Notamacropus eugenii: one gene and its partners. The protein of the gene in region 3 interacts with the protein of the main gene of each other region in a biochemical or structural test. Links are inferred from orthologs where the notes say so. Each region holds a gene or a part of one and is shown on either strand. Other genes may lie near its edges.

The links.
Region 1: the proteins of HTR2C (region 3) and MPDZ form a complex in vitro, tested with the Homo sapiens proteins (3 studies listed by BioGRID and IntAct, with this or other methods). The link is inferred for Notamacropus eugenii from reciprocal best matches to the Homo sapiens genes HTR2C and MPDZ.
Region 2: the proteins of HTR2C (region 3) and APBA1 form a complex in vitro, tested with the Homo sapiens proteins (2 studies listed by BioGRID and IntAct, with this or other methods). The link is inferred for Notamacropus eugenii from reciprocal best matches to the Homo sapiens genes HTR2C and APBA1.
Region 4: the proteins of HTR2C (region 3) and LIN7C form a complex in vitro, tested with the Homo sapiens proteins (2 studies listed by BioGRID and IntAct, with this or other methods). The link is inferred for Notamacropus eugenii from reciprocal best matches to the Homo sapiens genes HTR2C and LIN7C.

What each region holds. Positions count from the first base shown.
Region 1 is NC_092872.1:30,053,328-30,061,252, reverse strand, and holds the start of MPDZ (multiple PDZ domain protein), read right to left. Parts: upstream 3,008-7,925; 5' UTR 2,898-3,007; intron 1-2,897. UniProt on the Homo sapiens protein: Member of the NMDAR signaling complex that may play a role in control of AMPAR potentiation and synaptic plasticity in excitatory synapses. Promotes clustering of HT2RC at the cell surface.
Region 2 is NC_092872.1:103,059,135-103,066,954, forward strand, and holds the start of APBA1 (amyloid-beta A4 precursor protein-binding family A member 1), read right to left. Parts: upstream 3,001-7,820; 5' UTR 2,714-3,000; intron 1-2,713. UniProt on the Homo sapiens protein: Putative function in synaptic vesicle exocytosis by binding to Munc18-1, an essential component of the synaptic vesicle exocytotic machinery. May modulate processing of the amyloid-beta precursor protein (APP) and hence formation of APP-beta.
Region 3 is NC_092879.1:95,876,129-95,883,849, forward strand, and holds the start of HTR2C (5-hydroxytryptamine receptor 2C), read right to left. Parts: upstream 3,016-7,721; coding exon 2,978-3,015; intron 1-2,977. UniProt on the Homo sapiens protein: G-protein coupled receptor for 5-hydroxytryptamine (serotonin).
Region 4 is NC_092877.1:23,933,170-23,940,368, reverse strand, and holds the start of LIN7C (protein lin-7 homolog C), read right to left. Parts: upstream 3,016-7,199; 5' UTR 2,882-3,015; coding exon 2,845-2,881; intron 2,495-2,844; exon of another isoform or gene 2,353-2,494; intron 1-2,352. UniProt on the Homo sapiens protein: Plays a role in establishing and maintaining the asymmetric distribution of channels and receptors at the plasma membrane of polarized cells.

The DNA of each region.
Region 1 (7,925 bases), on a different chromosome or scaffold from region 3:
AAGACCTCTTTTCTCAAATATATAAGGAACTAATTCAAATTTATAAAAAATAAAAGTCATTTCCCAATTGATAAATGGTCAAAGGATATGAAGAAGCAGTTTTTAGAAGAAGGAATCAAAGCTATCTATAATCACATGAAAAAATGTTCAAAATCATTATTAATTAGAGAAATACAAATTAAAATTAAAATAACTGAGGAACTACGTCATACCTATCAGATTGGCTAACGTTGTTTTTGCTGTCCTTGGTTCTCAGAGTACCACGGCACAGGGAAAGTGACTTGTGAGTGAATTGTATTTAAGTTTGGGAGGGCTCTGCAAAGTCATCAGCCTCACTTTCTCCTCCTGAGTGATCTGGGTCCAGTGGCAAGATATAGCTCAAGACAGCTAGAGATGGCCCTGGATGTAGTGAGAGATATTGGTCTTTTGAACCTAAGGTCTTTCCCAGGTCTCAGTTTGTCTGAGGCAATTCCCATTCAATGATTAAGCTAGGTAAGAAAAGAAACAAGGAAATAGTCTCTCTTACCTGGTTAAAAAAATCAGTTTCAAAAGGGAAGACCCTCAGGATTTCTGGACAAAACAGAAACAGTTACTATTTATTTTTATTCTGAGCCAATCAGGACCCAAACAATGACCATTAACTGGGGCTTGGGCTGGGACTTATTGTTGACCAATCAATGAGAGCCAGAGTGAATTGGGTTTAAGGCATGGTCATTACAAAAGAATTCTAGGCTGAAAACCCCAAGATATCTTGTGAAGTTTCAGCAATTAAAATTTACTTTCCTTTGAGCAGAGCACTTCTAGGTAAGGGTATGATACCCTATGTGGACAGAGCAAGAGGAAAGAGGATAAGAGACTAGAGGAAAGGGAGGAGCTACATTGCCCAACTGGAACTGGCCAGTTGGGTCACCAGTGGGGCAGCTTATACTATTCACACGTTGATGTTTGTCCTTTCTTCTCAAAGAGGACTGTGGCATCAGGAAACTGATGCATGGCTAACATGACAGAAAAGGAAAATAATAAGTACTGAAGGGTGTGTGGAAAAATAGGGACACTAATCTTTTGTTGGTGGAGTTGTGAACTGGCTCAATCATTCTGTTTGCACAAGGCTTCACTTAAGCAGTGGGGGTCTGGCTGTTGAAGGTTGCTTCTGCCTGTGTCTATGCAGAAGCATGTGGTGGTTATCAGAGTTGGAGTCTGCCCATTATTCTGGTTATGCTGAGGCACATGGGGATCCTATTGTTGGGGTTTGCCTGTTCCACTGCACTGGGGCTCAGAATTTACTGCTAGTTTGCTAAGGTGGGACTTGCTGCTGGCTTGCTGGAATGCTTCCTCCCCTGGATTGTGTCCCCCTTTTAGCTGAGTGAGACAGATATTTTCCTGTCAATCTTCCAAGTTTCTTGGGCTCAAAGATTGTTTCATCCCATCTTTTTGCTGGTTCTACTATTTCAGGATTTGTTTTGGGGTGTTTTTTTATGGTTGTTTGGAGGGGAATATGGAAGAGTTATGGTGATTACTTCTTACTTCTCCATCTTGACTCCTGGAAGTGGTCAAACCATTCTGGAGAAAAATTTGATCCAGCAATACTCGATCCCAAAGAGATCAAAGAAAAGGGAAAAGGACCTATATGTACAACATTTAAAGCAGTTCTTTTTTTGTGGTAACAAAAAACTGGAAATTGAAGGGATGCCCATCAATTAGAGAATGGATAAACAAGTTGTTGTCATTATAATGCAATACTATTGTGCTTTAAGAAATGGGGAGCAGGATGGTTTTAGAAAATCTTAGAAAGACTTATATGAACTGGTACAAAGTGAAGTGAGCAAAATCAGAACACCATACACAATGACAGCAATATTGTAATGATGATCAACTGTGAAAGACTTAGCTACTCTGATCAATACAGTGATCTAAGACAGTTATAGAAGATCCATGTTGCAAAATGCTATCCACCTCCAGAGAGACATCTGATGAATTCTGAGTGCAGATTAAAGCATACTTTTAAATTTTGTTCTTGCCTTTTATTTGCAATGTGGCAAATATGGAAATATATTTTTCATGGATAATTGATATCATATTGTGTGCCTTCTCAAGAGATGAGGAAAGGACTTGAGAGAAGGAGGTCATTTGGAAATTCATAATTTAAAATTATGTTAATATTTTAATATTAATTATTAAATTAATTTAAAAAATTAAGTTAAATATTAAGAATATTACATTAAAATATATGTAATAATAATTAACAATTAAATAAATAATAATAAGTTAACATTAAAAAATAATGGAACTTTTTTTTAAAAAAGGCAAATGTATGTAAGACATGCTTTTAAATTTAATCTGCTTTATTAACACTTTCTTAAGTCTAGATAATCAACAAAACAATAAATCAAGCTCTGGTTTATAGCACTTGCTGATTTCTGAAGCATAAATGCTCACCCTGAAAATTTTACAATCACTTCTCCTGATACTCTGTGATTTGGCTCCAACAGCCTCCCTAACTCTAGGCATGAGAGCCAGTCAATGCAAAGAAAAGGAGATGTAGTGTTATGTTCCAAGAACTATGAGTAAGTAAGCCAGAATATCCAAGGGAGATGAAGTTTAAGAGAGCTAAAGGGTTGTGAAGAACTGTAAATTTCAGACACAGGACTTGATATTTGATCCTAGGGACAATAGAGAGTCATTGGAGTTTATCGAAGAAGGAAGATGGTGAGAACTACATTTTACTTTGGCACCTGAGTGTAGATGAATTGGAGTCGGGAGGGATTTGACTCAGGGAGACCCCCAAGACTGTTCATAGATTGTTAGAGCTACAACGGAACTGACAGGTCATCAAATTCATCTGCTTCTTTATACAGATGAGGACACTGAGGGCCAGAAACATGGAATGAATGACTCACCAAAGGTCCAATCTTGTGAGTAGCAGAGTCAAGGGTTGAGCACAAGTTTTCTGACCTCAAATCCAGGGTTTCTTCAGTTAACGGAGATATTTGCTTCTCTTCTATGATTTCTTCCCTATTAAAAAAAAAGAAAAAGAAAAGATGAGGCAGGATCTGCATTGGTGATAGGGATGGGGTCTTTGCTCATACTATTCTTTTTATATTCCAGAATGTTTAGCACAAGTGTTTTCACTAGGTGAGTGCTCAATAAATGCTTGCTGAGTGAATGGATTTGCTCGAGCCAATCTACGAAGGATTATAGTATCATAGATTTGTAGCTGGAAGGGACCTCAGAGACCATCAGTTTCAACCCCCTCTTTTTATTGATGAGGAAAATGAATCTTAGAGAAGTCAAGTGACTTGTCCACAGTCAAGCAACTGATAAGTGCCTGAGGAAGAATTTGAATGCAAGTCTTCCTGCACCCAAGCATAGAACTCTATCTGTTAGAGAAATACATACATTGATTTACTAATGCCTGGAAAATCTGAGGTTCTAGGTCCTATCAGAATCAGAATTAGAGTCAACAAATGTTTATTAAGCATCTACTATGTATTAAACACTATGCTAAGCTCTGGGGATATAAAGAGAGGCTTAAGACAGTCTATGAGCTTCTATCCAGAAGCTCATAATCTTATGGAGGAAGACAATATACAAAAAAAAAAGCTGCAGAGGGGGAGGAAGATGATGAAGCTGGGGTGGGAAATGATATGAATAAGTATGTTTTCAAATGGATTTCATTTTACAGAATGATGTGTTTCTAAAGATGAAGTCCAGAAAACTAGCCAGGTGGGAAATGATGAGGAGAATTCCTTGGGTGTCATTCTTAAATGGAAGAATAAAAAAATGGGAGAAGCTCCCAGATTTCCACCTCCACCCTTAATTGCCCGCTTAACTGCCAATTAGGAGTGGTAACAGATTGGACTAAACAAACCTGTCAATCAAACTCTTTTCCATCTATATATAGAGGCCTCTACCCTCAGAAAAAATGTGACATATAATCTATCTATATACAGGGTACTATATGGTATGATTTAAGGTACACCAAAAACAGTATCTGTCTCCAAATGGTTCTCTCAGCATTGGAGAAATGGAGTCCCATGAGTGCCACTTAGATGGGTTTGAAGGTGGGTCCATTGATCAGAACAATAGATAAAATGCTGATGTTACCTAAGAGGGCTTTCAAACTAGGACTTATGGTACTGGTTTGTTGATCAGATGAATTGTTTAATCACATTCTAGGGTACAGAGAAAAAAGCCAGTAAAAGTCTAAAATAGCAATTTTTAGATCTGGGAGTGTTCTTAAAAGAACATGATTTAACCCCATCCTTTCAAAGAAAATAACTAGGAACAGAAAGATTAAACAGCTTACCTAAGGTCACAAAGCTACTTAGTAGGGATAGAATTGGGATTTGAACTCAAGGCTCCTGATTGATAATCCTGTATTGGGAACATGATATTTAAAAGGTATAAGCAAATACTAGAGGGCATGAGGATGTTAGATAAGTGATGACAGTCTCATGTCAAAAGTAGGAGGGAGATGAAAGGGAAGGCAGGATGTTGGGAGAGAAGGGTCCCCACAGAAGACAAACAGTCACTATTTCAGTTTTGCCTGAGGCTGACGCTATCTTAGAACTCTGTTGTTGTTTATTCTGTGTTCTTGATGGGGACCATGATATCAGGAAAGTGATGCAATGACTTGCAAGTGAACCGGATTTAAGAGAGGGATTACTGTGTAAAGTCACCAGCCTCCAGAGCTACCTGGGCCCAGTGGCAAGATATAGATCAGGACAACTGGAGATGGCCCTGGATGTAGTGGGAGACCTTGGCCTTTTTAAACTGAGGACCTTTCCAGGACTCAGTTTGACTGAGACAACACCCATTCAGTGTTTAAGGGTAGGTAAGAAATGAGACAAAGAATGGTTTTTTTAACCTAGTCAAAGAAAAGCAAAATACAAAACACAAAATCACTTAGAACTCTCAGTAATCTTTTGGAGATAACATTTTATTTAGAGTTCTCTCTTCCTTGAGGGCTGATTTCCTAAATGAGATTGGCATACCAAATAAGGTGAATTTCTTTTGAAAAACCAGTCTATAAACTTCCCTTCCTCCAACTGTGTGAAACAGTTCTCTATTCAATTAAAACATAAATGCTTCACTGTTTTCCACCCCTTTATAGAAAGTGCTGACTTATTGCAGCCCCTTAGAGCTAAAAGGTATTTCATCTCGTCCACCAAATGATAAAGTGAAAGCTTAGAGTGAAGGGACTTTTGTCAAGGTCACAAGGGTACTAAATGACAAAATTCAGAGCTGAAGCCAGGTCTTCAGAAGTAGGCCTTTTCCCCTGTGCCATACTATCTCTCATTCTAATCCTGATATCACTTTTGAATTCACAGATTTGAAAGAGTCCCAGAATCTCAGAATCAGAAGGGAACTCAGAAACCATCTAATTCATTCCATACTTGAATAAGAAGACCTCTACAAAGCCCTTGAAAATTGCTTTCTAGACTTCATTTGATTACCTTCAGTGAGGAGGAGGCCACTGCTTTCTGAGCCAGTCTATTTCACTTGGGGATAGTTACAACGATTAGAAACCTTTTCCTTCAACCAAACCAAAATCTGCTTTTCTGTAATTTCCAGCCATTGTTCTAATTTCTTCCCTTTGAGACCAAGAACAAATACATAACCTCCTTTCTATAAGACCTCCCTTCAAAGACTTGAAAACATTTATCACAGATGCCTTAAATTCCTCCTTTTCTGATTAAATATCATCAGTTCTTTGGGGCCTCACTTTATAGATGAGTTAACTGTGTGGTTACACAGTGAGGAAGCATCTTAGCAAGGATCTGAGCCTTGGTCTCTTTTTTGCCTCCAGGCCTTTCTAATGCCCAAGTGATGCCAAAGTCAAATAGAAGGATGTGTGTGTGTGTGTGTGTGTGTGTGTGTGTGTGTGTGTGTGGACAGACTTTACATAAGGATCCCTGTAGGCTGCGTAATGACTTAGAGTAACACATTAACATTATTTATGGTTTATTGCATTTTTATTTTGTTAAACATTTCCCAATTGTATTTTAAGCTTTACTTGGGAGTCTTGGGAGCTACAGCCTAACTCTGGATATCTCTGCTCCATGCAACACTGTCTCTCATTCCTAAAATGTGGTGCCTAAAACTGTTTTATCATATTCCATATGTAGTTGGGGGAGGATTATGACTTCCCTAGTGCTGCATCCTTTACCCCTTTTAATGTATTCCAAGATTTCATTTGCTTTTTGAGTTGCCCTGTAAAAGTGCTCATACTTCGTATTGAGATTTCAGTTTGCAAAAACAGAGATCTTTCTTTCTAGCTATCTTTATCCCGACTTGTACTTGTAGGGATGGTTTTTTTGAACCTCAGTAGTAGATTTTATATTTGTCCCTACTAAATAAAACCCTTTTTTTATAGTCCAGAATTCTAGAGACTATTGAGACCTTTTCAAACACAAATTTTGTTATATTGACCTTGTGTCATTAGCAAATTTGATAAGCATGGCACTATGGGTTTTTCCAAGATACTGATAACAATGTCAAATAGCATCCTGACAAGTATAGATCTCTAGGGCATGCCATTGGAGACCTTTACATTGGGAACATTAATGGCTACTGTTTGGATTTGGCCTTTCAATCACTTTAAGATTCACCTCATCCCACATGTCTCTATCTTTTCCAAAAGAATAGCATGAAAGATTGTCAAGTACTTTCCTAAAATTATAAAAAAAAAAGCTACAGAAGAGTATATTATAATTACAGAATTCAACTCATTTACAAGCCTCATAAACTGGTCTATAAAAGGAAATGAGGTGAGTCTGAGATGACTTGTTCTTGATGAAGCTAGGATGGATCTTTGAGACCACCCTAAAGATTTCTTTTCTAGATGTTCACTAACAGTATCCTGGATAACACAGTACTAGAATTTTACTAGCAATTAAGATCAAACTCACTGGCCTATACTTAGAAGACTTCATTCTCTTCTAAAAAAGGAAAGAAGAAAGAAAGAAAGAAAGAAAGAGAAAAAAGAAAGAGAAAAGGAAAGAAGAAAAGAAGGAAGAAAAAAAAGGAAGGAAAAAAAATTTACTCTTCTCCAATCTTTAAGGACATCTCCAGTTTTCCACACTCCTTCAAAGACCCTAGGAAATGGCTTAGCAATCATTGCTGCCAGCACTGATCTTATTATTTGGGCATATTTTTAGCTATTCCAGGAGATGTTAACTCTTGGGAAGCTAGGTGTTTTCTTACTATCTCCTTAATATGGATAGTAATAATAAAAGTGTTAGCAGTAATAGCTAGCATTTATGTGGTACGTTACACATGTAATCTCATTTGGTCCTCACATAAGACCTGTGAGGTAGGAGCTATTATTATCTTTTATTATTTTTATCTTCTTATTTTATCCTTTATTACTGTTATCTTATTATTTTACAGATGGAGAAACTGAGGGTAGAAGTGGTTAGGTGACTTGCTCAATGTCCTACGGAGGATTTGAACTCGTTTCCTGACTCCAAGTCCAGCCCTCTATCCACTGAACCACCTATCTGCCTTATTTTAACCAACCCATTTTTAATAATTTATTTAAGTGATAGGTCCTGAGCTAAGACTAGACGATTCAAAGGCATAAATGAAATAGTTCCTGCCTTTAGGGAATTCACATTTTATGAGTGGAAAAAATGTACATAAATAATCATATACAGAAAATGGACAAAATAAATAAGGATAAAGATTGTACCTGTGATTTCACTAATACAAGGAATCCCCTCTCCCAGGGCAGGAGGATAGTATCTTTGCAACTTTAGGTTTAAAAGAATAGTCAAAAGTGCTGAGAGGTCCAGTGATTTGTCCAAGGTCACAGAGAAGGTATGTATCAGTTCTTGGACTTGAACCAAGGACTTCTTGGCTCTAAGATCAGCTCTCCAACTTCTAGATCAGGGGTGGGGAACCTGCTGCCTTAAGGTCACAGG
Region 2 (7,820 bases), on a different chromosome or scaffold from region 3:
CAGCAAATATTTTTCTCTTACAAGTATTTTAAAGAATCAACTTGTTTTTTTTTTAAGCTGAATAATAGTGAAAAATAGCATTAATGATACTTTAAGTGAAGGAGATGCATCCATGCAAAACAAATGGGTTGCTGCAGGCTACCACAAGAGCTATTACAACTTACTACAATGAATTACAAAATTCAAGTTGTATCATTAGCCATACCCTAGGCAATTTTAAGAAAATCTATTCATCTCTAAATATTATATATATTTTATTAAATGTAATCATATTTGTTATAAATGACATTCAATCAATATAGTTACCAATTCCCTTACTCAAACCCAGATTATCCCTGGATAACTCAAGAGGAATATAAACTTTCTTGGAAAATATGCTGCTTTTATTTATTGAAGAAGCTTGAATTTTACTGGGCATTTCTGTTTACTTCTAAATATAGAGAATTTTTTAAAAAATCTTTTTTCTCACATAGAATAAGTTAAGACTTCAAAATTCAGTTAACTACTTATCAGAAAGAGATTCTACACAAATCACAGGAGACTGTGTACCCAAATCTATGAATGTGGTTTTTTCCCCAAAATTTATCCCCAACTCTTCAAAGAGTTAGGACAACCTCAAATTGAAATTTTAAAGGCTCAAAAAGAAAATAATAATAAAACTATAATTCATATTGACTTTTTCAAGAAAGCCTGAATGAACAAAATACATTTAACAATGGCTATATATAGTAAAGGAAGGTTTAAGTGGCTCTGATTCTTATTAATTATAAACTGTAATATAAAAACAATAATACAATCTTTAAAAAAATCCCTGTGATAACGATACGTTGTATATTTGTTCGTGTAGGCATAATAGCTATGGTCTTAAAAGGGGGAAAAAGACAAGGCAGCCAGTTTGGATTCTGACAGCAATGCAGTAGAATTTAAAATATTGTGACTAGAATATTTCAGAGCAGGCTAAGCTAGCCATACAATGTGTTAACAAAGAAATACTAAGGTGTTTATTATAAAGATAAATTCTTCTCTCTCAAAAGAAAGATATGTGCACCAAGAATTCAAATTACATTGTACATGCCTGGCTGCTCTTAACTACAGTTGTATCATTATTTATAGACACAGTTTCTCCTCTGTGTATGTATGTGTAGTTTCTCACACACAAGCTATATATGTTTCACACCAATGCTGGTGGTGGCTTACTCCTGTTATGCAGAATCAACTCAACAATAACGCTTTTGTTTGTCCATGTCTGTGACCCTTGGCTTTGATTCAGCTGGCTATGACCAGACCTGAAACTCCCCACAACAGCAAAGCACAAGGTAAAAGGGCAGATGACTTTTCAGCAAACACACTTCTATCCCTTTGGTCCCTGGGAGACTTCAATAGAGCACCCATTAGCGAAAACTAGGAAAGCTTATTTCACTGGTGCTAAGAAAGGAGGCATTCATTTCTTAAACATTCATGACAATACTAATGCACCATTTTTTCTCCCCCCCCCTCCTTTTTTGGGGGTAACTCTTTTCCTAAACCAATGAGTTTAGAAAAAAAAAACTAAGAGAAAATATCACTTATTGGTGGTTCACAAACGCTGGAGTTACTACACTGGTAGTAGCAGGAGATACAGTTCTTGACATTTAAGGGACCGAAGGCTGGGGAGAGGAGATGGTAGGGCAGACACGGTGAAGATCTTTCTACCGGTCAGAAATGAGACAAACAATAGAAGCTGCATCGTCAGGGAGGAGGCTTAGACCAATGCAGAAACTAGGCAAAAAGAATGCTACCTGCATGGTGCTGCTACGGACAGAAGCAGGACGAGCAGGGACAGCCAGCACTTCCAGAAGGTGTGACCATCACCCGATTACGGGACCATGTGCTCAGGCGCTACCTCTCTACTTCCTCTCCTACACTCCAACAAGAGGGGGTCGGGGCAGGGAGAAAATCACTCACCCACACCAAAATACTGAGGCACTCTCAGAAATCGGACCGTTCCAGGGCGAGGATCTCCCACCACCACGTCCTACAGTCTTGCCTGCTGTTAATGAGGCTGTTGACAGCAAGCCGGGAGCTGACGAGACCCTTGTGTCTGACCGTGCAGTTTGAGGATTAGAGGTTCAATCACGCGAGCCCCTAGCTCACGCGAGGGCACACATACACTGTGTCCTACAAACCTGCTCCTTTTCCCCAAATCCCTTCATCCAGCAAGTGCATACAGCACACACCACGGTCTAAGTCGCTTTCCATCACTATTTCTACTGAATCTTCAATTGAGGAGAGAGGTTAGGGGTTCCTGAAAATGTCATCACACACACGCGCGCACACACACACACACACACACACACACACACGCACACACACACACACTCCACTCACAACGTCCTGCTACCGCAGGCCCCGATTTCTCAGCCTGCATCTCCCCAGAGATCCAGCTGTACTTCTCCTTTTAGCCCCCTTCCTGGTCCCCTGTCTTAGCACCGCATCTCACCACTGAACAGCCAGTCTAAAGCATCCCCCTCTTCCCTTCATTTGGGGATGGAGGCGGGGGCGGGGGGGGGGGGGGCCAGGATTGCATTATGTTGATCACCACCACCGGCATCATTATTGCTTCAATAACCCCCCACTCTCCTCTCAGGACCATCTCCATCCCTTCCCGGGCTGCGGGAGAGGCATCCGTCGGAGGCTGGATCGTCATCCCTCCCCACCCACTCCCCACCGGTACCTCGTAGCCTGACAGCTGGGGTCTGGCGGGGCCCACGTTAGCAGGCGGCGCGGGGGCAATGACAGGGGGGGCGCCCAGCCTGGGCACGAGCCTTCCCTCCGGCCGAGGCTGCCTCCGGCTCCACCATCTTCCTCCCCCTCCCGGTCCTCGTCCTCGTCCGCCTCTGGCTGGGGCTGCCCCTAGCTCCCCCAGCAGCGGCAGCAGCACCCGCAGCCCCGGCGGCAGCACCAGTGCCTGTTCCTGCTCTCCTCTCCCGGATCCCCGGCCCCACCTCCCTTCTCTTTCCCCTCCCAGCTCCGCGTGACGTTCTGCCGCGCGAGCCGGGGTTGGACTGCGTGTGTTTGTGTGTGTGAGTGTGTGTGTGTACTGTGTGTCCGTGCGCGTGCGCACCCTTGCCTCTGTGTGTGTGTGTGTGTGTGCCACTTTATACACTGCGGGCGCACGCACCCTCGCCAGGGAGAGGCCTGGGTCCCCAAGCCCAGAAGCCAGCAGCGACCCCTTCTCCAGCCTCCTCGCAGAGGCAGCGCCCGATGCCCCGCACACCCTCCTCTCTGGCCACGGCTGCGGGTGGGATGTGCTGCCGGCGTCTCCCCCCCTCCCAGGGCTCTCCTCTCCCTGGTGACAATACCAAACGACCGTCCAGGCTGATGCGTTGGAGTCCCCATGTCACTGATTAGGCCAGTTAGGTCAGCCTTCCGCTTTCAGCATGCCATCAGCCTTCATGTTTGCACAGTAACCAGAGAAAAGTGGCCTCTCGCGCAGCCAGCAGCACTTTTCCCCCGGTGAAATCTAAGCGGCTGTTTTTGTACGGCTTTTCTTCTTTCTTAGTTGCTATCTCTTAGCTTTGCCCCCCTCTACCCTTCCCCTTTCCTGGCCCCTTCCGTACTGTTAGCATTTCCAGGACAGGACACTCTAATGACAGAGGTTTTGCAGTTCTTACTGAAATATGTTGCAATAAGATCTCTAGACGCAAGGGGGAAGAGTCTTAAAAACTGTTTATGGATGAAAGACTTGGCAAGTTTGTATCTCCTAAGGGGAAACTGCTCAGTCCCCCAAGAGGGGAAAAGCAACTCCAAAGACTCCAGAAGCTAATGCTTGGAAATACGTTTCATTGTTATTCTGCCATTTTCTTCTCTTAGCTAATTAAAACTTTGAAAAAATGCACTTGAATGTGTTTTAAAGAATTTGCTTCAAACCAGAGAGGAAACAGCTAACTTGTAATGGATAAAGTGCTGTATTTGGAGACAGAAAGACCTGGGATCCAGTCCTCCCTTAAGTTCCTCCTAGTTGTGTCACCCTGGGCACTTTATTTAAACATTCTGAACCTCAGTTTTCTTATCTGTAAAAGGAGGGTTTTGAACTTGATGGTCTTCAAGGTTCCTTCCAGCTCTGAAAGTATGATGTAATAAGGACTAAGGCGGAAAAGACAGTAGCATGATGTGAGCTAAACCTGAAGACCCCAGCTACTTGGGTAAGGACTCCCAAATGACAAAAGCTAGAAACTAGTATGGCAGAAATTAGGGTTAGACCAAAACCTCACACCATTTACCGAGTGGCTCCAAATGGACACATGACTTAGATATGCTTGTTGTCCTTCATTCTCAGACCAAAACTACCTCACTATGTTGAGGTCAAGGTACAGTGTGTCTGGCTGTCACTGATCAGACCAATATGAGCTTGGAAGGCTCTACCACCGGTTGGACACAAATAGTCCATATGAACATTTGGAAAGGAGATGGCTCTAAATTTGTGCATCTTAAGTTTCTTTTGAGCTACTGAAATTCTGCTTTGCTCACAGAGCACAACATATTCTTTGTTGTGGGCATGCCATGCTGAGTGGTCCTGTGCCAGTGTCTCCCTTTTCTCCCATTCAATTCCAAAGTTCTTCAGAGAAACCTTGACAGTGTCCTTCTTCATCTGACCTTCCTGTGAGCGCTTCCCTTCTGACCTACATATAAGATGATCCAGTGGATAGAGTGCCAGACCTAGAGTCAGGAAGACTCATCTTCTTGGGCTTAAGTCTGGCCTCAGACACTTACTAGCTGTGTGACCCTGGTCAAGTCATTTAATCTAATTTGTCTCAATTTCCTCATCTGTAAAATAAGTTGGAGAAGGAAATGACAAACTACTCCAGTATCTTTGCCAAGAAAACCCCAAATGGGGTCATGAAGAGTCAGGTAGTACTGAGCAGCAACAGAATCGTAAACAAATTAGAGAACAAAAAAGAAATTTCCTTTTAGATCTAGGGAAGGGAGAAAAGTTCATCACCAAACAGGGGATAGAGAGGATCACACAGGATAAAATGGACAAATTTGATTACATAAAGTTGAACAGTTTTGCATAAACAAAATCAATGAAACTAAAATTAGAAGGAAAACAGGAAAATAGGAAAAAATCTTTGCAGCAATTTCTTTGATAAAGATGTCATTTCTAACATATAGCTCATAATAATGAGCATTTTACATTGAACATTTGCAAAGTGCTTTACAAGTATCATCTGATGTTATCCTCACAACAACCCTGGGAATTAGGTGCTATTACTATCCCCATCTTACAGCTGAAGAGCCTGAGGCCAACTGAGGTTAAAGTGACTTGTTCAGGACAACACAGTCAAGAAATGTGTGAGGATGGATTTTAATTCAGGTCTTCTTGATTCCAGTCCAGTGTCTATCCATTGTATCCCTTAGGAAGTTATTCAAATTTGTGAGAATAAGAGACATTCCCCAAGTGATAAATGTCCAAAAGATATGAATAGGCAATTCTTAAAGGAAAATAGCTAAGCTTTCAATAATCTCGTGGACAAAAAAAAAAAAATGCTCCAAGTCAGTAATGATTAGAGAGATGCCCATTAAAGCAACTCTGAGGTTCTACCTCACACCCATCTTATTGGCAAAGATACAAAAAAAGAAAAATGACAAAATAGTAGAGGGGCTGTAGAAAGCAGGCATATTTGATTGATGCACTATTGGTGGAACTATAAATTAGTACTGCTGAAAAGAAATTTGGAACTATGCCCCAAAAGTCATTAAATTATTCACATCCTTTGATTTAGTGATACGTCTACTAGGCCTTTACCCAAAGAGATCAAAGGAAGAGGGAAAAGACAATAAATACAAACATTTGCAAGTTTTTTTTGTAGTGGCAAAAAACTGCAAACTGAAGTGATGCACTTTGGTTGGGGAGTGGCTGAACAAATTATGGCATATAAATATAATATGAAAATAATGAAAGGGACAGGTTTAGAGAAAGCTGTGAAGATTTGAAAAAGCTGATGGAGAGGGAAGTGAGCAGAACCAGGAGACAATTTACACCATAATGATAACATATAAACACAAACAGTTTGGGAAGACTTTAGTTCTCTGATCAATACAATGACCAGTCCAGAGGACTGATGATGATCTTTGTATGCTACCTACTTCCTGACACAGAGGTGACAGATTCAAGATGTAGAACAAGACATACATTTTTAGACACAGCCAAAGTGGGAATTACAGATATTTGATACAAGAGTTTTATTTTTCTTTCTTTTTCTTCTTTTAAATTGTGGGATTGGGGTGTAAAGGAGAGAAAATAAATATTATTTGAAAAGCAAAGAAATGAAAAAATAAAGAAATTAAATATGTTTAACCTGAAAAAAAATAAATCAATGCAACAGGATGACAACTTACATGGTTCTTTAGAGAGTATCCTCTGAGTTCCAGAAATGATGCTAAGCCTGACCTCAAGGCATAGCAGATTTTAAAAATTTTATCTCAGACAGGAAATGCATTCTTAAAACTCCTTTTGGAATGAGAGAGGTCTTTTAAACAGGTAAAAACCTGAAGAAGTTGGGCTTTAATAAAACAATTCAATTTCTTACAGCAAGTATAATTGAAATTCTGATAGTAATGTGTAGTACCCAGGTTCCTTCAATGTGACACAATTGTCAGCCATAATCAGGTTTATGTTGTCAAACTTATAAGCCCACAAGCCCCCACCAATGTTTCTTTTTACCAACTCATACCAGATGACCACGAATTAAAATCAAAGATATCTCATGAAACAGAGTAGCCCAAACTGGGCAACTGAAAAAGTATTAAAAGTTTTAATTAAATTAAAATGTATAAAACTTAATTAATTAAATTAAAAAGTATTAAACTTTCTCATACCCATTCCCAAATGACTGATGTCTTCACAAGTTGTTGATGGTGTTATTTTTCCTTTATGCCCAAAGAGAACAGGACATCAGCAAGATGATGCCATGACTTGCAAATGAATTGAATTTAAGTGAGGGAGGGCTGTGTAAAGTCACCAGTCTCCTCCAGAGCTATCTGGGTCCAGTGGCAAGATTTCGATCAGGATGACTGGGGTTTGGCCCCAGATGCAGTGGGAAATCTTGGCCTTTTTAAGTTAAGATCTTTCCAAGTTCTCACTTTGACTGAGGCAATGCCCATTCAGTAATTAAGCCTGGTTAAAAAATGAGCCAAGGAATGGCCCCTTTGATCTAATCAACCCCACCTCCAAAATAATAAATCTGGGAGAGGAAGACCCTCAGGGTTTCTGACCAAAACAGAAACCATTACTATTTACTATTCACTCTGAGTCATCAGGACCCAAACAATGACCTCTAAGTTGGTCAATCAATGAGAGCCAGAGTGATTTGAGTTTAAGGCATGATCTTTAGTAAAGAAGTCTAGCCAGTAAACCCCAAGATACTTTGCTAGGTTTCAGCCATCAAAATTTATATTCCTTTAGGCATAGTACTAGAAGGTAAGGACATGATACCCCACATGGACAGAGGGAGGGGAGAGGAGAGGTAAGAAGAAGACAGGAGGCAAAGGGAGGGAAAGGGAAAGGGCGGGGGGGGGGGGGGGGGGGGGGGGGAAGGGAAGGGGAGAGGAGGGGAGTTGTCTAACTAGAACTGGCCCCAGCTGGGCAACTCAGACTACTCACAGGTTGTTGTTTGTCCTTCTTTCTTGAACAGGACTATGACATCAGTAAGATATACCATGACTTGCAAATGAATTGGATGTAAGTGAGGGAGGGCTGTGCAAAGTCAATAGCCTTACTTTCTCCTCCACAGCCATGTGGGTCTAGTGGCCAGATAGAGATCAGGATGATTGGAGAT
Region 3 (7,721 bases):
CTAACTGTCTTGCCAAAGATCACAGAAGCAGCAACTCAAGGAAGAAGGAGAGGAGTCATTGGACCTCCCCAGGTACCAACTTCTTTCCCTCTCAGCTAAGGGAGATGACGTCTGAGGTACCTTCCAGCACTATAACCGCAGTCCTCTTTGGGCAGTTAGGTTTGATCTGGCTTATTCCACCCATCGTACCAAAGGTGAGCAGAGCACCCAGGGTATGAGACATCGGTGAGCAGAATCTGCCCAGCCCAGGCATTTTAGCACCGCATTTGCAGAGGGACAATGTAGGGTCTACCTAGACCCTACAGAGAAGGCAGCTACACCATCCTCACCAAGTAAGCTTTGGGTCCTGGTTCCTTGCATGGTGAAACAGGCAGGCCATCTTCCCTTCTGAAAGTAGCAGACAGGGAATGCTTTCCTGAGATACTCTCTGAGCACCACTTTCAGGACCCTAGTGACATGACCCCCCCCCCCCCCCAGGGAATCCTTTTCCACACCCTCAACCTCCATCTCTGATCTCTTACCTATACTCTCTCAGGTTTGAATCACCACTGTGTCTTGTTCCTTCTCATTATACCAATGGAAACACCAACAGAAATGCTTCACGATCACAGAAGGCTGGAGGGAGGATACCCAGTGGGAAGGGATCCTGGTTGTTTCTGCCACAGTTCTCCAAGTCTGGAGCTTTGGCCAAAGTCAAGTCCTTCTGAGACCAGAGCTTGGACTCTCTTTTGCCCTTCTCCTGGCCTTACTCTAACCCACCCTCAAAGAGTCGCGTTAAATATCCACCCCCATGGCCTTGCCTTTCCCCTTTGGACAAAGGGCCAAGAGTTTCTGCATAACTGCTATGCTTTTAATGAAAAGGGGATTAAAGGCTTTCAAAGAGTTACCTAGACCCAGTTCTCCTTGGGAGGGAGGAACAGACCGCCCAGGAGCCTCAGGTCAGGGTGTCAGGCTCACCATCTTTAGCTAGGTCTGCTGGCTTGTGTCTCCTACCGAATAACACTACTCCCCCACCTCTGTCCCATGCTCAGACATCACATGATCTGTCCAAAGGATGGATGAGTCTCAGGATTGGGCTCCCAAGCCTGGATGCTGAGCATCCTCCTGCCATTTTCGATTTTGCTCTGGGAAAGAGCAGTTTGAGCCTCCTGGTAGCAGCCTGATACCAAATGTAAGACCCAGGGGAGATGCTTCTGGCCCACCAGGAGCCTTGCAGGGATAAAGAAACTGACATCACATCTCCCCTCGGACCTGGTCTTGCCTCTGATCTAAGTTAAATGATAGAGGAAACAAAGGATGCTGTGAAAAATAGACAGCTTTGTATGACAAGTTAGTTGGGGAAAGGATCATGGGACCCAAACCTAGGAAAGAAACAGATGGGATCCAAGGACTGGGCTCATCCCTACTCAAAGCTGTGTCTAAGTTCATGATGCAGCATAACCTGGTCTCATTACGGAGAGGGTCTTTGGAGATGCGCTAGGATGAATTTGGTAGCTTGGCATTAGGATTTGCTTTCCTTCAGAGTGCCTCTGAGACCCTGAAAGGAGCCCATGGGATCCCATGCTGGGGCCACATTCCCTTTTGAGATAGACCTGGCATGCTTATGATTCTACCCACATGTACAGAGACAGATATACTGAGCTACTGGGCTCAGAAGTGAGAAGTATGGACACAAATGCCTCTCCTTTCAGTGTATCTTAAAGGGGGTCCTGGATGGCATCCTTGTCATCACTATAAGTCACAGATTGGTACTATGGGTGGAATACTCCACATCAAACCAAAGGCTTTCCATGTTGGGCACTAGGAGAAGAGAGGTCATTCCCGGAGTGTGGCTACATTCCCCAAACTACTGAGGCAACTCTGTTTCGCAGGCCACGAGGGCCTGTTGGAGATTTGTTCTGACATGTTGTAGCACAAATCATTTGTGAGTAAGTCTATTCATGATTATATGAGCTTTGTGCAAAAACTCGTTCCTTTCCAATTGCAGGTGAACATCTGTCCAAGATTTGTATGAGACTTTCAGTGCAGAATGACATTGCTTTTGCTGAATGAATGAGTACCCCACCCCATGTCAGGTGTTTTCCATGGTGACCTCAGTTAATGAATCAGCCCCATAAGGAGGATAATGTATTGTATCCATCTCAAATTCTTTCCTTCAATCACCCCAAGAGACAAGGAAAAACCCTTTTCACATGTAGCTTATTTCTAAGTCATGATTTTCCCCATTGTGATCCTAGGATGTGACAAACATGGTGGGCACAGAGGAGGTTATAATCACGCATTTACTCTTACACACAATCTGGAAAGGGAGAAAAGACCAAAAGGAGGTTCATGCCCACAGAGCAAACATCTTTAAGTAGTCCCACACCACGCTTTTCCCTCTGGGTCAGTGATATTGGACTTTCCCATTCACTTTGTGCTTGGTGAGGCCTATGAAGACCACGGAAAGGAGTTGACAGGTGTCTCTCAGGTAAGCTGATGTCATCTGATTCTTACTACCTACCCCAGTAGGGGGATGGAAAAAAGAAAAGGGTCATCACCACCCTTTTTGGGTGCCATTCTTATCCTCTTGTTGGCCGTGAAAGATGAGAGAGTGCTATGCTAACCTTGGCTACTACATCATTCATTCCCTCCCCCTACCTCAGTTTCCTCAATAGATGGCCTTGTGGAGTCAGACTGGATCCTGAAAGACATCTAGTCTGAGACTGGACTATTTTATCTTTTCTCTTCCCTCTCCTATGAATGGACAAAACAGACCACCAGTGAAAGGAAACCTATAACCTCTACAAAGAGCCTATTTCATTGTTTGATTTCAGGATTTCAAAAATTAAGGAAAAGGTTGATTGGCTGATATTTTTGCAAGGATCAATTTCTCTCTAGCAGCAGATAGTGCTTACTAGGAGGGTTCAGTTTGCTCCAAAGGTCTTTTCTGCACTGCGAGGAAGCAAGCCTCAGGCTACCTCTTGGCTGTTCTTACCTGGAGAGTGCCCTAAGTCTGGGTATTAGAAGACTCATGGTTGCACAGTGTTTCCACTCGGGCACCTAGGGAACATTATCAGTTGGCCGTTCAGTTGAGAATCCTGGTCTTCCTTGGAGGGGAAGAAAAAACCTTCCATGAGAAATTCCTGAAATTCCTCTCTCATCACTCCAAACCAAGGTTAGAACAAATAAACCCCACATTTTTCCAACTCTGTTGAGAGAACATGAAAGGGCCACTGGGCCCCTTCAGAAAAATAACTGAGCTCTCTCTCCAAAATTTCCAGGATCAATGATACTGCGAAGTAAAGACGCGGCTTGGCCACAGGGTCATGTTTTTACTGAATCTCCTTCATTGTACCTCCTTGGCTGGGGATTTCTTCGAAAGGGGCCAGATGCCTGTTATTTATCCAAGGCTTCTCAGAAACTCTTCCCTTTGCTTTGGGGGTGGGAAGCTCATGAGTTTCTGATCTCATGAACCTGGGGCAGGAGGCCCATAGGTCTGAAAGATACCAGAAATCCTCAGAGTAGAGATGAACACCCCTCCCCAATCTCTAGGCACATTTGAAAAGCTGATCGTTCCTGAACTGATGAATGACTCATCTCCACACAATGCTTTTACATGTCTCTAGCTCAGTTGCTTCTCACAGGCCCTAGCAGGACCTTGATAAACAACTCACTACTCATGGAGAGGACTGGAAGTCAGGAAAAGCCGCTCCTGGGTTTGGGGAAGAAGCTTACCTCACAGGAAGTTGCGCTCAAGCAAGTCTGCTGATGTCTGAAGCTGGAAGACAAGTAGGAGGTGAGTTAAGATGCAATTTGGAGCTGGGCAGCAGACCTCCAAGGAGGACTACCAATTGGCATACATAGATCCCAGGTAGCATTTGAAACACCTACAGCTGAAAGCAAACCAAAGGAGATTACGACTGCCAGAAATGCCTCCCACTAGGAATCACACTGAATGATTAGACTAGTTCTGTGAGTAGGCTATGGTGGAGATGTGCCCAGTGTAGGCCAGGCAGATGGGGTGTTATGTTTTAGTGAATCAACAATCATCTCCTCCTTTTTCTGGTCCCACAGTCTGTTCTCTAGAGAAATATCATTAACAAGGGTCAAGCGAGTGGGGAGAGGGGAGAGGAGGGCATTAATCTCTGCTTGCCTGGGTTCAAAATCGTCCAATTAGTATTTGAGCTGTCTGTCATCAGTGAGCCCTGGAGAATCCCAGAGAAGGGGCTTACATTGGGTGAGGCCAAATTAATTATACATTTCCACGATGCTTCCTTTTCCCCAGGCAGGAGTGACCCAGACTCAGAGTAGGAGCCCTGGCAGGTTTCCAGGCAGGAAGAAGTGCCAGCAGTGAGCTGATGCTGAGGATGTCAATTTGCCAAGAGTCTAGTCAGCAAGAGAGCCCCCTTTTCTATCTAGAAAAGCCCTCTGCCTGAGGCAATAAGAGCCTCTGAGGGAGAAGATAAAATCACCCCAAGTTGTAATGACCAGACCTGGTCCTCCTCCCCTCTCTTGCTTCCAGGATCCATAAGGGGCAGGTGGAGAACCTGGGAGCCCTCCCCACACACATTCTTCTAGGAGATCTGAGAATGCAAGTACCCATACTGTAGGTCTGGAAGGCTTATACTTACCTGTATTTCCTTGTGAAGAAGAAAAATTCTACTCAGGATTGGTTGAGGTGGCTAGTCATTGTAAAGTGACAGGGATGTTGTTTTACCATTGCTGTATCATTTAAAGAATATGGGTTTGTCATAAAAAGGTGGAGCCCTCAACGAGTCCATGAACAGAATGGAAAAGGCCAGAGAAATTACAGTCATACAAGTGTAGACTTGGAATGTCCATACCCCGCATAGGCAGATCCACATCCACATGTGCATATGGTAAAGTCATGCACTAGAACCCTCGGAAGATGGGTTCCACACCTGACTGAAATCCTAGGAAATACTCAATGAATGTCAGTCTTTCAATTGCCCCTTATTCCATAGAAAAACTGAGGTTGGGGGCCTTATCCACAGGGCTCGCTGGCCAATATTCCAAATTGGATGAAGTTGTAATTCTCATTGGGAAATCTGATGGAACCTGCCCTTCATCTGGGATTCTTATCTCCCTTGCCCAAATCCTAATGACTCTACTGGATCAGGATCTACTGGCAAAGCCCTGTGTCATTGTTCCATGGCTCAGTGACCTACTACTGGGTCCTTACCCATAGCCTTTTCACCTTTGGGGGCTCTGATGCCCATAGGCTGTTTATGGACATGTCACTTGGCAAAGGAGGAATATTCTTGAATTAAAACAAAGCCAGGGGCCTTTTTTCCCTCATGGTTTGACATCATTGAAGAGCTGTACTTGCCCAGAGGACAATGTCTCAGAAAGACCTCACCCAGAAGAAAGTCTAAATCCTTGTGAAATGACATGTTTAGCAAAGACATGTCCAATACTGCAACATCGGTGGTAGCACATGAGGCATACCAGGAACTCTGATGATCGCCAGGGAGATATATGAAGGGAAGCCTCATCTTGAAAGGGGCTTTTTGGCAAAAAAGAATCATCCTTAGGGCTGAATCTCTTGCTTCCTAGCTCTGGCAGTAAAGGTGTGTGTAATATCTCTGTGAGTGAAAGCTGATGGGAGGGGAGAGACTCTAGCAAAAGGACTTTGGTGGAAGTCAGAGGTGGCCAATCTCAGGTTTTGAGGGGACTCTGTTCCAGCAAGGGCTGCAAGACAGACTTCTTGCAGCACCTGCTTTGATACACATTAATGTCTCGGATTTCCTACCGGGCAGGTTTAAACAGCTGTTTGTTTTGTCTTCCATCCATCCCGTGGCTGAAGCATACTGTGTCTCAGGGTTTGTTTGCCTACTTAGTAGAACAGCAGGAGAAAAGGGAAAACAATGAAGGCAAGGCAAAGCAGAAGACAGAACCCAAGCAAAAATGACAAGAAAGCAGAATTAGAGCAGCACGATTCACAGAAGACAGCTTATTTTAGCAACATGGTGACTCAAGCAATGTGGCAGCTGACAAAGGCCGTTTCCATCTAATGAGTAAGTCGAGTCACAGGTTGCACCCCAGCTCCTGTGCCAAAACAAATTTGCAAAGCATAAGCATGCTGTGGGAGGCCAACTTCAAAAACGATTGACTTAGCTCTGGGGACCTTCCACGGCAGCTGGGAGCAAGCCGACTTGACTGCCTGCAGCTGGGACCCATTCCTTTCCCGCTCTCCACAGCCTGGAGGACTCTGGAGGAACCAGGGACTGAAAAGCTCTGGGCACAGAGGAGGCGGCCAGGGCTTGGGAGGTTGTAAAGCATCCTGACCCCCTAGCAGAATCTGCAGGGTTAGTGTGAAATTCGGAGATGCCTGGTCCTGCCTCAGTGTCCTAAGGCTCGGTCCTGATGAGATGGGGGCAGGGAAGGGCAGAGGAGCAATGACTTTCCTTCACCTGACCTCACCTGCTTGAGGAGAAGCTGACAGATGACCAGGCAACTTTTTATCTTGTCTTTTATGGAGCATGTGAACCCTTTGTACACCTCTCACCCTACATCCCATCCCTCAGCCCTCTGGACAGAAGAGGCCAAGGCTTAGACAAGGTAGCTCAATCCCCAAGACTGCCTCAGCAGGGTGACTCCTCTGCAGGGACACTTGGGATTGCTGAGTCCATGAGAGCCCGGGGAACCGAGCCCAGGTCAGCATGGAGAGAGGTCCCCTCCCTGAATCAATGCAAAAAGACCACTTTCTTGAAAGTGACTGGTTTAAGATGTTGCCTCAGTCCCTGAGGGGTGGGCACACAGCTAGTGTGGAGGAAGTTATACTTGACTTCTGAGTCCCCTTTCTCCGAATCCCTTGGCGCCCCCCCCCCCCCCCCCCGGCCTCAGTGAAGGAGAATACAGAGCATGTTTGGAATGACAGGAATCTCTACTTTGTCGCTTGCTACCTTTCAGCTCTGGGAGCCCCTCATCCTCTGTAAATGAGAGGATGTTCAGAGTTCTTTCCAGCTCGATCCACTTAGGGCCATTTTTTTCCTCCAGGATTTGAACTCATCCCTACCCTGACTGACACGATACCAATTGTGTTCCTAAAATAATATCCCTTCAAAATTTGGGATGGGCCGTGGAGAACACTCCCAGAAATGAGCAAATACTCATTGCTACAAGTGGACCTTACAGAGGCCTTTACTTGGGAGGAGTAGGAAAACAGAAAGGTTACAGGCTGGACTCAACTGCATTCCTACTGAAATAGAGAGGCAAAGTCAGGAAGAGGCTACACTAACGGCTTCACAATGTGACACGCACAGTTAGGGTCCCCTGGTACTATGGGTACCGTTTAGGCACAGGCAGGAGTGGGGGCTCCATTGCCCTTGTGTATGAGGATGTGCAGCAGGATGGCTGGAAGGGATGCCCCATGAGCCTCTCCCTTGAGTGGCTGGGAAAAGCACCTTAAGGCTCATGGTCACTGCCACTGGATCCCCAAAGTTGAGCTAATTGACTAGGTTGTCCAGGGAGTTCCGAGTCAGAATGTCTTAAGCTGTTTGCTTTTGGCGATCCGCTTTGTTTAAGGGATGACCTAGGAAATTCGCAATACTATGGCAGGAATGCGTGCCCTCTCCCAGGCAGCTGAAAACAGAAGCAGGTATTCCATGACACTGAAGGACCACAGGTATGGGGAGCATTCCCCAGCCCTCATTCTGGCCTTGCACTGTGCTCTTTAGTCTTAGCGTTACTAGGCTAGTGACCTGAAACACTTACAT
Region 4 (7,199 bases), on a different chromosome or scaffold from region 3:
TATAGCTTTTATCATTCTACTATCATTTGAAACAAAGAAACAGAGAAAAAATTGAAATAGGAGAAAGTCATCACTACCAAAAACAGATGCTAGAGGTGATGCTGCATGCAATTATTCTGTCCAGTACTTAAAAATACAAAAGAACACTCATTGTCAACATGTAAGAATTCTAAAACTAGCTTTTAAGAAAAAAAAAACCTACTCCTATTTGACACCAAACAGATTTGTTTCCTAGCATAAAGCATAGTAGTTTGGTACTAAGGAGAGGGATGTTACAGCCTTGTGGTTTAAAAGTCTCCTGGAAAAATCGATATTTTAATTAATAGGCTGGTGATGTGTGAAGGGATAGATCTCTCTTTAGCCTCTAATGAAGCACACAGAATGCACTAAAAAGTATCTAAGTCATGAACACAAGAAGAATTAGAGATTAGGTGTTTGTCAGGAAGGGGAAGAGCAAAATATTTTTATATAGTATGGTGGGAACCAACAACTTCATTTATGTAGAAAACTCCTGAAACTCTTTACATCAAATTAGTTTGAGACCTTCTCTGCAACTGGTATTCTTAGAATTTTCTGGGGCAATGACTTGCTCAGGGTCACAAAGCCGGTATATATCAGAAGTGGGACTTGAATCCAGGTCTTCTGTGACACCTCTACTTTTTAAGCTATTAAACAACACCATAAAAATTTTACATGCTCATGGTGAATAAAGCTACTTAAAATTTTGGAAGTATAATTATAATCTGGAAGATAATTTTAATTCCTATTCTATTTTTATTACAAAAAAATGTTAATTTCTGTATTTTTGATGTTAATCATGTACTCCAACAACAGATAATCTAAACCAGAATTTTGACTAAATGTATTAAGAAAATTATGCTGAATGTAACAATATATAAGAATATTTTTAGGGTAGAAAAGAATTTTAAAATCCTCTCACACTATACAAGCAAGGGAAAATTCAATTTATTCACATAATCTCATTTCGTCTACACTCCTGAGCAACAATTTTTTCCTGTTGAGTCTGAAATCCTTAACCAACTCTGGTTTGGTGGTATGGGAGAAATAAGGCTACATAACAAGGAAGCTGGTCTTTGTTCTTTGAGAACTTAAACTCTACCCAAAGCTCAGATGAGTCATGTGGCCTCATTCACTCCTCAATAGTTCTTCAATCTTAAGAACACTCAAAGACTTTGAGAAAGTAACACCCGACTTTTCCTGTAATCCTGTGACTCTAACCTTTCCAGGCCAGGCAATCACTGACCCTTCACATAAAAGCTACTCTTTGTGAAGTACGTGGTTTGAGTAGCTGTAACATGTGAATTTTTAGGCCTGAGGGTGATTTATGTGGTTGGGTAAATCAGGTCATGTCTACCTGCTATGTATGATTTAACAGAGGTGTGATATGGTGCATATACCTTGACTGTGTAAAAATAGACAATATATTTAGTATGTATGTGTGGTTGAAAGAAAGGTAATCTGTTCTTTGCCTTCAGACTCTCTGTGCGTGTTTCAGGGCATCTGGGGGGGGTGTAAAGAGGGTAGTTCATATTTAGCAGTTATTAACAGAGCAGTGAGTGTGTGTGAGTTGGGAAGGGGACCGAGTGCAAGTGTATGCATATACACACAGATATAAACACACACATATGCAAACATACATTTAGATATGTGTATACTGGTAGAGAATATGTGCCTGTGTGTGTGTAATTAAGCTTGGGGGGAGGGTATAAGGAAAGGTAACTGCAGGTTCACCTAGACAATTTACCTGTTATATCTAAGGTGTGTAAGTCTGCTAAGTGTAACTGAGAAGTCTGTGTTTCAAGTCTCCAAACCCTGTCACTGGAAATAATATGTAGCATTTACAGAACACTTTTAAGGTTTGCAAAACACTTTACAAATATCTTGTGAGTCTTACAATAAGTATGGGAGGTAGGTGCTATTTCACAGATAAGGAAACTGAAGCAAACAGAGGTTAAATAACTGGACCAGGGTCACACAGCTACTAAGGATGAGACAGGATCTGAACTCGACTCCAAGTCCAGGGCTCTGTCTAGCTGGCTCACTGCAAAATGTGGGAGACCCTGGAACCCTTACTCAGGTGGCCAACAGCCCTGTCCTCAGCAAATACCCCGAGTGACTCTGGTCAAGTCACTTAACCTCAAGAGGTGGCCCAGATGACCTACAATGCTGCAGACAGAAATACAGATCAAAATTTTACACCCCAACTTTAGAGGATTAAAAGCTGAATTTATGCTAATGAAATTGAACGGGCGAAAGGGTTAGAAAGGGCAGCAGCAGCGTACAACACCCCAGCCTCTAGCCACGTGCTCGCACGTACGGGGGCGCACATGCGCACAGGGCGTGAGCGCGCTTGGGGAGGGGAGGGCACAGGTGGAGTGTAAAAAAGGCCGGCGGTCCTCCAGGCCGCGGCGCTCACTGCAGCGCCTGGTATACAGTAAGAGCTTAATGCATGCCCGCCGAAGGACCAGACCAGGTGACTTCGCGGTCGGACGAGTGCGCGGACCGGGCAGGGCAGGTCGGGCCGGGGGTGGGGGTGGGGGCTGGGTCGGGGTCGCGCGGGTCAGGGCAGTGCGTGCCTCGGGGTGCAGCGTCAGCGCGGCGGGCCGGCCCCGGCCCCGGGAGGGCCTCGCTCCAGGCCGGTCGTGGGTGGGCGTGCCCGAGTCCCGCCCTGGCTCCCCGGCGCCCCGGGCTGGGACGTCCCGGAAGGGCCTCCCCTCCCTCCCGGATCCTGCCCTCGCCCCTCCTCGGGGTGGGGGCCCTGCCCTCCCCTCGCCCGCCGTCTCCTGCTCCTCCTCCGACCCCGTGTCGGGCCCCAAAGCTCACCCCGCTCCAGCCTCACAGGCTCCCCCAACGCCGCCATCTTCTCCCCCCGCGCGCGGCCCGACGGGAAATGATGACAAACGACGGCTTCGCTGCGTGCCTCACAAGCGTCTCCGAGGGAGGGGGCCTAGCGAGCGGAGGGGGAGGAAATACCGCGAGATCTCGAGGGAAGGCGGGGGCGGGGCTGCGGGCTTGGCTAAGCATGCGCCGGGAGGCGCCTGCGCGTGCGCGTGCGCGTGCGCGTTCCAGCGCCAGCTTTTCGAGTTTCCCAGAGGCTGGTGCTGTCTCACTCTGCACCGGCATAGGTTCCCGCACTCTTTCCCCCTCTTCCGTCTAGTTGGTAAGGTGGGAATGGAGACAGATTAGGAGGCGTGTACCTGGCAAGGGAGGGGTCGGCGACAGAAAGCCAGCCGGGAAGACGTGGATTCAAATCCTGAGCTCTGCGACCCTGGGCCTCAGTTTCCTCACCTGTAAAATGGAAATGCTACGTGCTGCCCACCTCCACTGCACCAAGACTTTTGGGCCGTCCTGTCTATCTAGATAGAGACGGAAAACTTTGTAAACTTCTCTATAAACAGGCTTACGTACACTCGTGGTAAATATATTCCATGTAACATGTAATATGTGCAAGTGACTTATCCAGGTTACATGTCCAAGTGTGGGAGGCAGGATTGGCACTCGGCTCTTTCGGACTCTCAGTCACCGAACACCCCTAGCTGCCTCTGCAAAAACCTTTCTTTTTCGAGCCTGCGGATAGTGCTTTTGTCTCAAACCCGTTAAATCCAGGCACTTCATCACAGGAGAATTCAGGAAATTTTATTAAACATCAGAGCTGCAGTTAGGAGTTTTGGCACCCGGCCAACACACGCACACCCCACTCAGGACAAGTGGCACCTTCAGTGGAGAGGGTGAGGAGGAGAATGCCCCCTTTGGTGGGGACAACCTGAGCTGACTGTGTAGGGTGGCTTCCTTCTTCGCACACCGCTGAAACACCCTAGGTGACGTCAGCGTCCTGTGTATTCAGTGCCCTGGAACACTGCCACAATGTATCAGGCTCCTGATACAGTCGCAGTTCTGTTAATGTAGACTGCGTATGGGATATTTTCTTCGATTCCCAGTCTCCTAGCATCCTTGGTATATATTATTATCACGGTCAAAATCACACAGTAGAAATTTTCTCAAAAAAGCGAGACTTTCATCTTCACCTTGCACTTACAATGTTAGATTGTAATCAGGGAATGGCCCCTTTAAGTGAATAGGCCAAGGTTTCCCTTTGCATCCTGGGCAGTGTCTAGGCATCCTGATGAATATCTGGTCACTGGATCCAGATGGCTCAGTAGGGGAAAGTGAGACTGGTGACCTGCACAGCCCTCCCTCACTCAAAACAAAGTCCAATCCAAGTCATGTCATCATTTCTCTGATGGCATGGTCTTCTTTGAAATAGGGACTGACTTTTGTCTCTTTTTGTGTCCCCAGTTCTTAGCACTTTGCTTGAAACATAGGTGCTTGATGGACTATCTGATTTATTGAATCCAGTAGCCTCAGGGTTCTGATTCAGAGTAGGGAAATAGGGATACTTCATTCAAATCATCATGAATAAATGAAATTAAGATATAGAATCAAGTGGATAATGTGGCAGAGACTTAGGTCATAGATTAAGAAGCATAAATTTAAGCCTGGAAGGGGTGCTAAAAGTCAGCGAGGACAATGTTATTTTCTACCTCAGTAAGAAGACTGTAGTAATATGGTAGGTCAAGGGGGGAAAGCTTGGAGAAGGAATCGAAAGATTTGGGTTTTAGTTAGCCAGTTTAGTGATTGATTACTTTATGCTTGCTGCTAGCTCACCTAAGGTCTAAAGTCTCAGCTATCAAGGTCTTATGATGAAAAATGCTATCCATCCCCAGAGAAAGAACTAATGATGTTTGAATACAGACTGAAACATAACTTTTTTAATTTTATTTTTCTTGAGGGCTTTTTTTGAGGGGAGAGTCCATGTTTTCTTTCACAACATAACTATTATGGAAATGTTTTGCATGACTATACATGTATAACCTAGATTTAATTGCCTGCCTTCTCAGTGGGAGCAGAAGAGGGGAGGGAAGAAGGGAGAGAATTTGGAACTCCAAGTTTTTCAAATGAATGGTAAAAATTGTTTTTACATGTAACTGGGGAAAAATAAAATACTAAATGAAAAAAAGTCTGAAGTCTTACAGTTAGCAGGTAGAAGAGTCTAGACCCAGGTCTCCTGGAAGTTAGTATACTTTCCATTATGAACCAGGTAATCAAAGGGTGTCATTATTTACCCAGGCAAAAGTTTGAGGAAACGTTGTTGTTGTGATTGTGTTAATTTTATTTTTGATGTTGACCAGTGAGGTAGGTGATAAAGATCCATGAACCTTTCTGACTGGCTGTAGGTCTGAAAGGAGTTACCTTATTTTGTGTTTTTAGTGTCACAGTATCAAGTGAGGGTGGAAGTGACAAGCTCACTAGTGTTACTAGAAATTTATTGCAGATTTTGCAATAAATCTTTTGCAATAAAATTCAATAAGATTACGATTTCTATGGTCTGCCCACTAGCATTTCCTGATCTTCTAGGATGTATCATTCTGATAAATCTTAGATGGAGAGCTTACTGTTGATCTGAGTGCCTTGGTGTGCCACCAGCTCTTCTTCCTCCAGTGTATAATGGGAGATCGCCTGGTATTGTAGAAAAGTGACTGGGATGAGTTTCATGAGACAGACTCTCGTCCTGCTTCTGCCACGAACTAGCTGTATAACCTCTGTCTGGGGATTGGTTTTCTCATCTGTAAAATTAAAAGGTTAGGATAGATCAAGAGTTCTTAACCTGGGGTCTGCAGATAGATTTCAGGAGTCTGTGAACTTGGTTGGCTGAGAAAATGGCTTCATTTCAAAATAATTGTCTTTCTTTGTATCCTGTATATTTTATTTTATGTATTTAAAAACACTCTTCTGAGTAGTCAAGTGTAACACGAGTTTATTCCAAACTCATTCACACAGGGCCAGTTCCTTACATTTTACACCTGCCCTCCCAGGGTTCTCTGGTACCCTGAGAGGGTGAGGGAGTCTATGTTCTTTGTCATTGGTTGGAGCCCCTATTATATTCCCTTCACTTTTAGGTGCCAAGTGACTAACACCTCAGTTTCATTTCACTACTTGATACTAAATTAACTTTTACAAAGCTGGTACAGTGGATAGAGTGCTGATTCTGGAGTAAGGAAGACCTGAATTCAAATCTAGCCTCAGATACCCACTAGCTGTTTGACCTTGGGCAAGTCACTTAACCCTGTTTGCTTCAGTTTTCTCATCTGTAAAATGGGAATGAAGACTATTGTAAGAATCAGATTAGATAACAATTACAAAGTGCTTAGCACAGTCTGACATCTAGTAAACATTATATAAATGTTACCTATGATTATTATTATTATTTACTTAAGAGATACAGCAAGAATAAACATACCAACATTTCCCCTAATACCTCAGAAGCATAATTTCCCACATAGACATCACCTCAGTCTTTGGACAAGGGAGGGGGACTAGGCTCACAATTTAGCCAGATCCTATATAACATTAATCTCACCAAGTTCAAGGCCAAAGCAGTCAGTCCATCTTCTGCTAGGCTTTACACCCAGGACCTGCGCTTCCCAGGCTATCTCTGGTGGGCTGGTTGGCCGGCTGCAATATCCAGCCTGGGTTCCTGGACTCTTGCCTTCCCATGGCTTTACTCCCTGCACTTATGAGGGAAGATCACAAACCAAAAGGTCAAGGCCCCAGCCTTATTTCTCAGGGTTCTGTGGTCTAAAGAGGGATGAGGAACAGAAGGTGTTCTTCAGACCCTTTGCCTTATCCCATTGGTGTGAGTGAAGGAGTGCTTTACCCTTAAAATTAAATGCAGCAGAAAGCCCTCTGCATTGTTGAATAAGTCTGTTTTAAAGACACTAACATTTTTTTTAAAAAATATATTTTATTTTCCCTAATTACATATTAAAATTTTTTTAACATATTTTTAAAAAATATAGTTCCAAATTCTGTCCTTCTATCCTTCCTCTTCCCTCTGCCTGGGATGATAAGCAATCAGATATAGGTTACGCATATGCAGTCATGTAAAACATTTCCATATTAGTCATTTTATACAAAAAGACTCAAATAAAAGAAGGAAAGAAAGTGAAAAATAGCTTGCTTCAGTCTGTATTCAAACAATATTAGTTCTCTCTCTGGAGGAGGATAATATACTCCATCATTAGTCCTTTGGAATTGCCTTGGATCTTTGTATTGCTGGGAATAGCTAAGTCATTCACAATTTCTCATTGTATAATATTGCTGATGCTGTGTACAACATT